Linked DNA regions of Danio rerio. The protein of the gene in region 2 binds, or shares a complex with, the protein of the main gene of each other region. Links are inferred from orthologs where the notes say so. Each region holds a gene or a part of one and is shown on either strand. Other genes may lie near its edges. The genes, in order: tmem107l, mks1 and tmem17.

Region 1 (3,759 bases), on a different chromosome or scaffold from region 2:
AACCACTGAGTTAGTATTTATTTATTATTTACTAGACCAACGACGTCTGGCTGTAGGCTACAGTAAAAACTAATGATTCATTTATTTGTTGATTTGTGAATGCTGAAAACCTGCAACCATTGACATCCATATAGGAAAAACAAATGCTATGGAAGTTACAGGTTTCCAACTTTCTTTAAAGTATTGCCTTTATCGCTTAACAGAAGAAAGAAACTCACAAAGATTTACAACCACTTGAATAAACAGCAAACACGTTTTTATATTTGGGTGAGCTATCCTTTTAACTTATAGGGCTCTTATTACACACGTTTTATGCACTTACTATAATACCAATAAATTATGCATAATCACATGCAAAAACCCATAACCATAGTAAGTACTCCATATCGTTAATTAATGCCACTCAGTACTTTATGCTATAGATACACTGTAAAAATGAGACCGTAAAACAAAAAACAACTTAGTTTGTTTAAATGCATTTCATTTCGAGATTAGCACTGTCGCTTCACAGCAAGAAGGTTGCTGGTTCGAGTCCCGGCTGACATTTCTGCAGATGCTTTTTTCCCTGTGTTTGCTTGGGTTTCCTCCGGGTACTCCGGTTTCCCCCACAGTCCAAGGACATGTGCTATAGGTGAATTGAATAAACTAAATTGGCCATAGTATATGAGTTTGAATGAGTGTGTATGGATTTTCCCAGTGCTGGGTTGCAGCTGGAAGGGCATCCGCTGTGTAAAACATATGCTGGATAAGTTGGCAGTTCATTCCGCTGTGTCGACCACTGATAAATAAAGAGACTAAGCTGAAGGAAAATGAATGACTGAATAAAAGGCTTGTTTAAGACACCTCGAACACCTTGATAGTGCTCCCTATTGACCACAATAATGAAGTCTTTGAAATAAATTTTTTCCAATTGTCTTACTACTTGTCTGCGCTGCCATGTTCCAGTTCACCATTTTCAAGTTATTTCACCTTTAGTACCTGCTCTCAGCCGAAGGAAAATGAATGAATGAACATTTTGAGACATTGTAAAACCAAGTTGAGGACCAGTCAGAAAGCGACTCCTTCCAGCAGGTGACAGCATTGAGCTACTTGTTGGTCTGTTTTGACCATAACCCATTCGCCAAATAGAAGAAGAGTGTTGTCGTAGCAACCCGAAGCTTATATCGAGCGATAACTGTCCTCAAGCTTGATAAACTTATACGCATAGTAGCCTTATATACAGTGCTATATCTACTTTACTGCTCACCATTTGAAAAATCAGGTTTTAACAACTAACGCAAAGCTGGTACGTATACCATTTTGATATACAACCTCACGTTTTGTGAAGATGAACACGTTAAACCTTTAACTGTTAGTCATCCACTTGCACAGTTCAATCTAAGTTATTATGTCTTTCTTCTCTGTCTAGTGTTCAATGTCGGTGGTCAGCAGTCTGGTGCCTGCCCGTTTCCTCACTCTCATCGCGCACCTTGTAATAGTGATAATCATTTTCTGGTCTCGGGTAAGAAGTGTTCTTGTGTGTGTAATTGTTATTTTTATATCACACAACATCACTGCAGCCAGCTGTGTGTTTAAATGTGGAATGACCTACAGGAGTACAGTGTCCGAGCCTGTCTACCACTCGACTACACTAATGAAGAGTACACAGCAGAGGACACACGGTTGGGAAACACACTTTCTCTGTTCTGTATTGCTTCACAGTGGCTAAATGATAATATAATTATTTCGGTCATGTAGTGAGACTGAATAGTATTTTTTGATTCAACTTTATTGTCATTATACATGTACAAGGCAACAAAATGCAGTTGGGGTATACCTAGGAATGCGATAGCATCAAGTGCATGATATATGCACAGTGCTCAGCAAATGAGTACACCCCTTTGAAACAAAACAGATTTATTAAACAGATATATTTATTCAAATAATATTTTAGTCATCAAACATATTTAGAAATTGAAAGATATTACAATTACATTCAAGCAAAATAATCCAAAAAAGAAAAGAAATTACAACCTGCAAGATTTCAACTAAAATAGTCTTTTTTTTTTTCATTCCGCAATACAGAATGTATTTTAATTGTTAATTAAATGTACCTTTTAATTTATGAAACAAAATACTTTAAAATCTTTTGATGGCTTTTCTTGTTTGACCCATTTACAGCATATTATTGTTTGACTGATAGTAAATTGTACATTATTTATATGTAGATGTGAATAATGTTATGGAGTCAGATATAGTAAGTCCTGTTCATGACGCTGTCCTAACCATTGTTTTTGGAATACAGGCTTGTGGTGGCATTATCCGTGACTCTTGGCCTGTTAGCCATCGAGTTGGTTGGGTTTCTCTGTGGAATCTCTATGTTCAACAACAACCAAGCTCTTCTGTGTATCCTTACCAGTAGCACATCACCACTATAGGTTATATATATACTGTAGGTGTTGATGCATATAAATTGTGTATTATTTTCTTATATTTTCATGGATCGGAGTCAAATCTTCAACTTATGATTAACGCAAACAGCTCCCATATGTGTGTCTAGTACTAGTTTCTTACACATCTCATCCAAAGTCTTCTGTTTTGTTCAGATTTTTGACAGTAAATTACCTGAAGTCATGGGTCGTAAAAAATTATATGGAGCTGTAATGTGGTCAAGACCTACCTGGTATATAAAGTCAATCTAGGGCCATATATACAGTTGAAGTCAGAATTATTAGCCCTTTTGAATTATTACCCCCCTGTTTATTTTTTCCCCAATTTCTTTTAACGGAAAGTAGATTTTTTTCAACACATTTCTGAACATAATAGTTTTAATAACTTATTTCTAATAACTGATTTATTTTAGCTTTGCCATAATGACAGTAAATAATATTTGACTAGATATTTTTTAAGACACTTCTATACAGCTTAAAGTGACATTTAAAGGCTTAACTAGGTTAACTGGTTTAACTAGGCAGGATAGGGTAATTAGGCAAGTTATTGTATAACCATGGTTTGTTCTGTAGACTATCGAAACAATATATAGCTTAAAGAGCAATAATTTTGACCTTAAAATGGTGTTTAAAAAAAAAAATGCTTTTATCCTAACCGAAATAAAACAAATAAGACTTTCTCCAGAAGAAAAAACCCTTTTGGAAAAATAATAATTCAAAGGGGGGCTAATAATTCGGACTTCAACTGTACGTGCAAAATAAAATAAAACTTTGCAAACAACAAATAAAGTATTGAGCAAAAAATAAATAAATGTAAATGAAAAAAATAAAAAATACATTTTGCTAACAAAAATAAAGAACTGCAAAGGGGAAAATTGAGAAATAAAAATGAAATTTAAACAAAAAAGGAACTGCAAATAAACATCAAGCAGTAAAAAAACAAAACAAAAAGATTTGCAATAATCAAAAAAAAACTATATATATTTGCAAAACATTTTTATAGCATTGCTTTTACAAAACCTGCCCGGTCAGTTGCAATTGTCATTTTAATTAGATTTTAGTCAACTGTGAGTTTGTGATGCTGTTTTCACTTTGTACTTCACGTTTCTGCGCCTTTCACTTTGTGGCCCTGATTTGACAAGGGGACTGAGTCAAGGGAACTTAGAGGTTTACCTAAGGCCTGCCGTAAACGCCCAAGTTCCCTTGACTCCACCCCTTTGTCAAATCAAAATGAGCATTGCAGTTGACTGGATGGGTTAGGTCAAGGCTAAAAATGTTTTGCAAATATTTATATATTTTTTTTTTCAGTTCTTTTTTTGTTTGCAAATGT
Region 2 (3,759 bases):
GATACAATGTTTTACAGTGGCTTAGTTTTAGTAATGTTTGAATACCATGTAAACACAGCACTATTGATTTAGTTATTATACAGAATCATTGTGAAAACTTTTACAAAAAAACAGTTGCAGTTTCACAAAATTAAATGTGTCAAAAATAGCTTCATGTCATTTAGAGAAGTACATGCGTATTGAAACAAAACAGGATGTTGTTATCTCAGGAGAGAAAGTTCAAGATGTCACAGAGTGTAAATACCTATGGGTTTGTCTGGACTCCTGTCTTGGTTTTAAAACACATATAAAAAGGTATGTAACAAGGTCAAATTGAATATAGGTAATTTTAGGTTTATTGGAAATTCTTTATCAAATAAGGCTACAAAAATGTATATAAATTCTACGATCCTCTCTCATATGAATTGTCTGATAATTTGGTTTAACACAAAAACAAGTTTTACAGTTTTGAAACCTTTCGAATTATTATATAAAAAGAACTATATAAATATTATATAAACAAGAACAACAAATTTTGGATAAAAAGTTTAGTTTTCAACACTGTACTATTTACATTTACATTTAGTCATTTAGCAGACGCTTTTATCCAAAGCGACTTACAAATGAGGACAAGGAAGCAATTTACACAACTGTTAGAGCAACAATGAATAAGTGCTATAGGCAAGTTTCAGGTCTTTAAAGTCTAAGAAGGAAAGTATTAGTAATTTTTTAGTAATTTAGTAATTTCTTTTGGAATTTTTTAGTAAAGATTTTAGTAAAAAAAAAATTTTTTTTTCAATATTTAAAAAAACCATAGCCTGCTTGGTTGGGAAAAAATCAAGTTTAAAAATGGTTGTGCAGTTTAAAAGATTGGCATCACCGTGGCGCAGTGGGGAGCACAATCGCTCACAGCAAAAAGGTCGCTGGTTTGAGTCTTGGCTGGGTCAGTTAGCATTTCTGTGTGGAGTTTGCATGTTCTCCCCATCCCAGTGTTGATGTAGTTTTCCTCCCGGTGCTCTTATTTCCCCCACAGTCTAAAGACATGTGGTATAGGTGAATTGGTTGGGCAAGCTAAATTGTCTGTAGTGTATATATGTGAATGAGTGTATATGGATGTCTCCCAGTAAGGGGTTGCAGCAAGAAGGACATCCGCTGCGTAAAACTTTTTTCTAGTTTAAATCTGTAGAAAACAAAAGACTTGAGGTACAGATAGAGCTGATTGTACTATTCAACTTAAAAAACTTGTTTTGGTCAAGCTTGTTTTTCTTTGAAAGCATCCCATCAGTGAAATAAGATACCACAATCTGTTAGAGATTGTGATTTTTTTGAGTATCATTTTTAGAAATTTTCTTATTATTATTCAATATTTTGAACACTGGGCTTTTTGATGTTGTTGTGGTTGTTTTCTGTTGTTTAATTGAGTTTTGTTTTTAGTTGAATTTGTTTTTTTATTGGTATGGCCTTTAACATCTGGCAAAGGGACTACCAATGAAAACATAAAGGTAAAGTTGGTTTTATATTCGCACATTCAGACTTTCTCCTAATATAATTTCATAAAAGTATTATTTGCAAACTCTAAATAGCGAAATCATATTAGCAGCCAATGACTATCAAAGTACAACATTGTTCACAGTCAAATAAACAGTGTAATGTTGTTTTCAAGTCACATTTGCAGGTTATTTTAGAACGAATCTTCTAAGTGCCGTAGTAAACGATGCAGGGAATGTGTCACAAGTTGTCACTGAATTAATGTGTGAATATAAAACCAACTTTACCTTAATAATGAAAACTAGTCTTTGGGTTAATATAAGTATATTTACGTTCTAGGTGAATGATTAATGTACACTGAGAAATAAACTAAACTAAACAAAATCACAGAGTAATGATGTATGCAATACAATGTTACTCTGATATAATATAGAAATAAGTAAAATTTAAAGGGATAGTTTTCAAAGGGATACAATTTCTAATGTATTTACTCAGCCTCAAGTATTTCTTTTTTTATAGAAGAGAAGCTATTTTGAAGAATTACTGTGTTCAGCAATATAAAGAAACTTAAAGAAAAGGTTTGAAAAAAGCAGGGCGAGTAAATGATGACAGAGTTTTCAGTTTTAGGGGAACTATCTATCCCTTTAATTTACTGTGGTATTTTCACAGCTCTTCCAAAACAACACCACAGTACCGTGTCCAAAATAGTTCATAATGCTTTAAAATATATACATCAGTTTGTTATACATGCACACAGGCGACGTGTCTTACCGTATTCGGAAGTTTTTAACTGCATCCCTGGAACGGTAAACCGATTCTCCGTTGTCAGAGCACCAGCCGTCAGCCATATCTGACACACAGCGTCAAAAGATAAAAGTCTTCACATATAGTGTAGAACTCCCACCGGTTACTATAAAAACACTCACATCAAGACTAAGGCAGCTTAAAATGTTTTGATATAATTCACTCGTGAATGCAATACTGCTGAAAACAGTTAACGCCACACATCAGAGCGTCTTGTTGCATAGTAACAATCTAAAACGGAAGCGGCCGGAAGCCATATGCACGCATGCTCAGTACTGGCAAACATATGCTGTTCTCAAATCAGCCTGTGCTGCTTTGAGATCGAACTTCTGATAAATGACCGGTGCTCACTACTGATCTGCAAGCGGTAACACATTTACTTTTCCTGTCACCCACTGGCAACAAACTGAAAGCTGTTCCACATGTTTGTTAAACACGGTCGATTATTTAGTTTCCTTATGTCGCATTTTACTTGGGAACTATAGACATTTTTGCTTTGTTTGAAATGTTTTGAGGTTTTTAGTGAAAAGGAATCTTACATTTAAAATAAACATATTGCGTTGAGCTGACCTCCTTAGTTTGCCAGACTATACCAGCTCGAATTTCTAAATGTGTATTGTAGCCTAACCAGATGACAAGAACCAAACGGACTGGGGTAAATATGGTGTATTTGCACATTTAGAGATTGTCCTTTCATCAGAAATGTCTCATTTGCTAATTTTAAACGAGGAAATTATATTAGCAGCCAGTATCAAAGTACGTTGTTCACAGTCAGTTTAATAAGGTTAGAGCTAATGTTGTTTTAAAGGTGTACTTGCATGCTAATTCAGACCAAATATTCAAAGTAACGTGGGTTAAAATATAGGCACCGTAAACAAATGTGTACATTCAAAACCAATTTTACATCAGTGCCAAACGAATCTAAAACCAACAAATCAACTTGTTTACGTTGTTTTTTTAAAGAAACATTTTTTCTTTTTTCTTTTTTTTTAAACATTCATCAGTTGCAAATATGCAAGTGTGGAAAACAAGTATTAGAGTGTACCAGGTGTCCAGCCAAACAAGCAAAAGATGTTTTGTAGGGCTGAATGAATTGTATTTCACACCAGTATTTTATGCACAGCAAATTTGCACAAGATCATTCTTCTATCGAAGAGACCTTGTTTTAAGGTCAGACGAGAAATTTTCCTCCAATAAACTCAAAAAAACATTTGCCACAAACAGAAATGAAATTCACAAATCAACAAAAAGTCAGAGAAAACCATCCCAGGCAGTTCATTTTTCAAAAACAGGGAAAAAGCTGTCATCAGAACTTCAGAAACTGAGGTTTGAGGATCTTAGCGAATCAGAATCTAGTAGCATCCGTAAAGACTCCCAACCAAATCAAGATAAAGAGTTTGAGATTGTGTTTGGTGTGGCCCCATGTTTATTGGCTCTCACTCGGGGAAGAAGGAGTGCAAGTTGTCTGTTTGTGAAAAGTGGCGAAGG
Region 3 (3,759 bases), on a different chromosome or scaffold from region 2:
CAGTTGAGTTTTAGCATTTTTTATTCAATTCTGTTGATCTTCAGGTCTGGTGTGAGCACTTTTAGCTTAGCTTAGCATAAATCATTGAATCAGATTAGACCATTAGCCTCTTGCACAAAAACTTAAAGTTATATAAGTTACACAAGATAATTTATATTTATATATAAATATATATATATATATATATATATATATATATATATATATATATATATATATATACACATATATATATATATATATATATATATATATATATATATATATATATATATATACATACATACATACATACACGCACACTCTTCTATAGTTACATTATGTACTAGGAACTATACTCTTATTCTAAAAAATATTTCCCATCTAGATAACAGTGCTACATATTAACATTGTCCCTGCTGCAGCCTTGGTATGGCAGCTAGTCCCTTGATTATTACACCAAAATGAGAGTATAGTTCTTAGCCATATCAACATATCACTTGCGCTTGACGCTCCTTCCACGTCTGGTGTGAACAGCATTAGTATACAATGTGACTAGAAAAGTGTCAAGCTCTAAATAGAAAAATTATCTCCAGTTATTATTTGTATTTTTGGAGCAAGATGCTAATGGTCTAATCTAATTTAATGATTTATGCGAAGCTAAAAGGGTTTTCACCAGACCCAGTGATCATCTAAAAGGATTAAAAAATGGCAAATCTTTTCTGTTTAACTCTTATAAGTTGAGCCTGTTCCTCCTGAAGTGGAGTGTTTCATTCAAATCTGCATAAAAATATGGCTTTCGTGCTTCCCTCCTGAGTGAAAATCTGTACTGAAGATGTAGTAAAATCAATCGAGACAAAAGCAGTTGTAGGCTTTGGAAATTAAAGTTGTAATCTTTATGTTACAACCAATATCATTGCTGTTCTTAAACTCTAATCACTGTGTTTTGCACAAAATAATGGCTTTTTGTCAAAGTGTCTTGAGTGTTTTATAAAACACTGTTCTGTTGGTACACAACTGAAATCCCTTCAAATTCTGAACAATGAGGAGTTAAAAATTCTACATAGTCACTTAAAATAGTTGTAAGATAGACAGATAGATACCTCAGCAAAGATAAATAAGGCCAGTATTATATGAACTCCTCTCTCTAGTGGTTGAACAAGAACAGCCTCATTGAAGAGCTGGAACAAAATCAGAGGAAACTGAAGTAGAAAAGTCAGAAGCCAAAATCCAGCCAATTCTGGAACCTACTGAAAAACAACAGATGCATAATGGGACCAATTATAGGATATTACATGATATTACATTAAATTAAGATTGACCTTTTCTTGCAGATTTCCAGCATTGCCCAAATACAGCCTAATAGCCTCAATCAGGGTCATTACAATGAGAATTGTGATCAGGATGAACTTGTAATAATCTGCAAGGGCTGAGTACTAGAAGAAAAAGCACAATGATTATTAGCTGTAATATCTAACAACAGTAATATGATTAAACAGCCATAAGATCATATTGAAATGTTAAAAATGACAAAGACGAGAATCACCTTTAGGTCAAGCATCACAACCTCACTGATCCACCAGAAAGGAAAGAACCACATGTTAAAGTAGAGTGACATCTGAAGAGGGAGACTCGATACTACATCCTTATCTGAGAAATAATAGTGCATAAAATTAAAATGACAAATTAGCTTTGAATAAAGTTCATTTTTACTAATCTTGGGCATCCTAAATAACCTGATTCGGAACCACAGATATATAATATGTATAATAATAATACATAAATCAGTGTTCGGAGCCTGTATAGGATGGAGTAAAATAACATTTGGCGAATCGGTTCTTTTGAACAGTTCGTTTTAAATGAGTAACTTTGTTCACTTGGCTGTTTTACCTAACTAAACTTGGTTAAAGATATCCAAAATATTTCGATTCCGTCAACCTATTAAATCATCTAGTTGCCTTACTTTAAGTAGTTTTTTTGACTAATCACGTTTTATGAAAAGGTCCATTAAGAAGATCCGATTCAAACGAACCATTTATTATGCTTTTTGGTAACGCAACGTAGTTTCGTAGGTCCCAGACAGGAATAACGCCAAATGTTATCAACTTCCTTTTAAGATTAATGCTACCATAAAGCATTATTATATCTGCATATGACGTCAGAAAAAAATATGTTTACTAGCAAAAGCTACATGAAATCGTACAACTCGGCTAACCAGATGAATTAGCCCTACAGCTAACGTTCACGTAGCAGATCAAATGGAAGCTCAAACACACTTACTTTGGTCTAGAAAATTTGCGTGCTCTTCGAAAGAGGGTTGTGTACGGCTTTGGTCCACAAACACGGTTCTGGAGAAATCTCCAAGCCGTCGCCTGATGGGTTCAGGCAGGTCCATGTTGGGAGAAGCAGACGTGTGTCCGTAGCAACCAGTCTATGGTAGCAACGAAGGCGGATCTTCTTGAGCGGTTGTGATGGTCCAGCTGTGACCACCGGGGGATGTTTTTCACTCTCACTCACACACACTGCTCAGCTGCACTTAACAGGTTTGCTTGCTTTGTATGATGGCGAAATAAGATACATTATGCTGAGTTTTATCCTGCAATGTGTATAAAGAATAATATTAATATTCCTGGCTTAAACTATCACTTTAAGTCAGCATGAAGTAAAAAAATGTACAATGTTTATTTTGCTAGAGGACATTGGTAGTGTTAAGGTGAACAATTAAGTAAAGTCGCTGATCATTTTTATTGTAGGTAATCTTTAATCAAAAACCTCCTATTTGATTCTGCTCTGGTGTGGGGGTCCTTCTCTGATGACGTCAAGTATGAGAACTAAAATAAAACCCTGCCCACTACTCAATGTTCAGTTTATTCAGTCTTGAGATCCAGGGTTTCTATTAGAATTTAGAGCTTTATTTTAAAGAAGGTTCTTTTTGGGTTCTTCACTTTTGAGAAACAATATGAAAAGATATATTTTTTTTGCAACCCAAGGTTCATTCATTCATTTTCTTTTCGGTTTAGTCCCTTTATTAATCCGGGGTCACCACAGCAGAATGAACCACCAATTCAGGGCCGTGCACAGACATTTTGAGGGGCAGGGGCACTAAGTGGGTGGGTTCTTGCTTATACAAATTTTCTAGTTGTTGTAAAAGTACAATTAAAAGAAAAAACAGTACACTCTGTAATAATTTCAGAACTATTTACCATTTTACATTTTTATATTTACCTGTACCTTTAAAAACAAAACTTTTTTTGTCCTGAAAGATCTTGATAAGCTCATCTTACATGTATGTGATTCACATTTACACATTGCGGATAATAACAGAAACTATTTACTGTTGGATGGACAATCTGAACATTTTCTGTCTCCATCACCTTTACTTTGCTGAGTTGACTCGGAGGGAGTTTCATCTTAGAATGAATAACAAAGCATTTACAATATTTAAATTATTTAAATGTCCATCTATCTTTGTATGACACTCTAGCATATCCCTTCCAGATTAACAGTCTTACCTGTACCTGTGTGATTTAGCTCATGCTCGGTGGTCTCCCTCATTTTTTGAACCTGCTTCTGCCTCATCTTCAATGGAAAAATAAATATTACACGTTTAATTTAATATTATACACCATGAATTTATATTAACTTTTAGAATATTAATATTGCATTTTTTTTTACTATTTATAGGCCTACTGTTGACATGGTTTTAATAAAATGATTTGCTGTAGCCTGTGATTATAGTGATTATTATGGAAAATATAGGCCTACTTAATTAGACAAACA

What was found.
Region 1: mks1 (region 2) and tmem107l share a complex: the UniProt entries of both Homo sapiens proteins name them as parts of the tectonic-like complex. The link is inferred for Danio rerio from reciprocal best matches to the Homo sapiens genes MKS1 and TMEM107.
Region 3: mks1 (region 2) and tmem17 share a complex: the UniProt entries of both Homo sapiens proteins name them as parts of the tectonic-like complex. The link is inferred for Danio rerio from reciprocal best matches to the Homo sapiens genes MKS1 and TMEM17.

What each region holds. Positions count from the first base shown.
Region 1 is NC_133198.1:31,419,413-31,423,171, reverse strand, and holds the start of tmem107l (transmembrane protein 107 like), read left to right. Parts: upstream 1-1,128; 5' UTR 1,129-1,285; intron 1,286-1,408; 5' UTR 1,409-1,414; coding exon 1,415-1,501; intron 1,502-1,593; coding exon 1,594-1,661; intron 1,662-2,284; coding exon 2,285-2,385; intron 2,386-3,759. UniProt on the Homo sapiens protein: Plays a role in cilia formation and embryonic patterning. Requires for normal Sonic hedgehog (Shh) signaling in the neural tube and acts in combination with GLI2 and GLI3 to pattern ventral and intermediate neuronal cell types.
Region 2 is NC_133180.1:61,446,740-61,450,498, forward strand, and holds the start of mks1 (tectonic-like complex member MKS1), read right to left. Parts: upstream 2,531-3,759; 5' UTR 2,316-2,530; coding exon 2,239-2,315; intron 1-2,238. UniProt on the Homo sapiens protein: Component of the tectonic-like complex, a complex localized at the transition zone of primary cilia and acting as a barrier that prevents diffusion of transmembrane proteins between the cilia and plasma membranes.
Region 3 is NC_133200.1:30,968,074-30,971,832, reverse strand, and holds the start of tmem17 (transmembrane protein 17B), read right to left. Parts: upstream 2,451-3,759; 5' UTR 2,375-2,450; coding exon 2,260-2,374; intron 1,630-2,259; coding exon 1,526-1,629; intron 1,416-1,525; coding exon 1,302-1,415; intron 1,227-1,301; coding exon 1,083-1,226; intron 1-1,082. Other genes in the region: PKc_like domain-containing protein, read left to right, coding at 2,476-2,522. UniProt on the Homo sapiens protein: Transmembrane component of the tectonic-like complex, a complex localized at the transition zone of primary cilia and acting as a barrier that prevents diffusion of transmembrane proteins between the cilia and plasma membranes.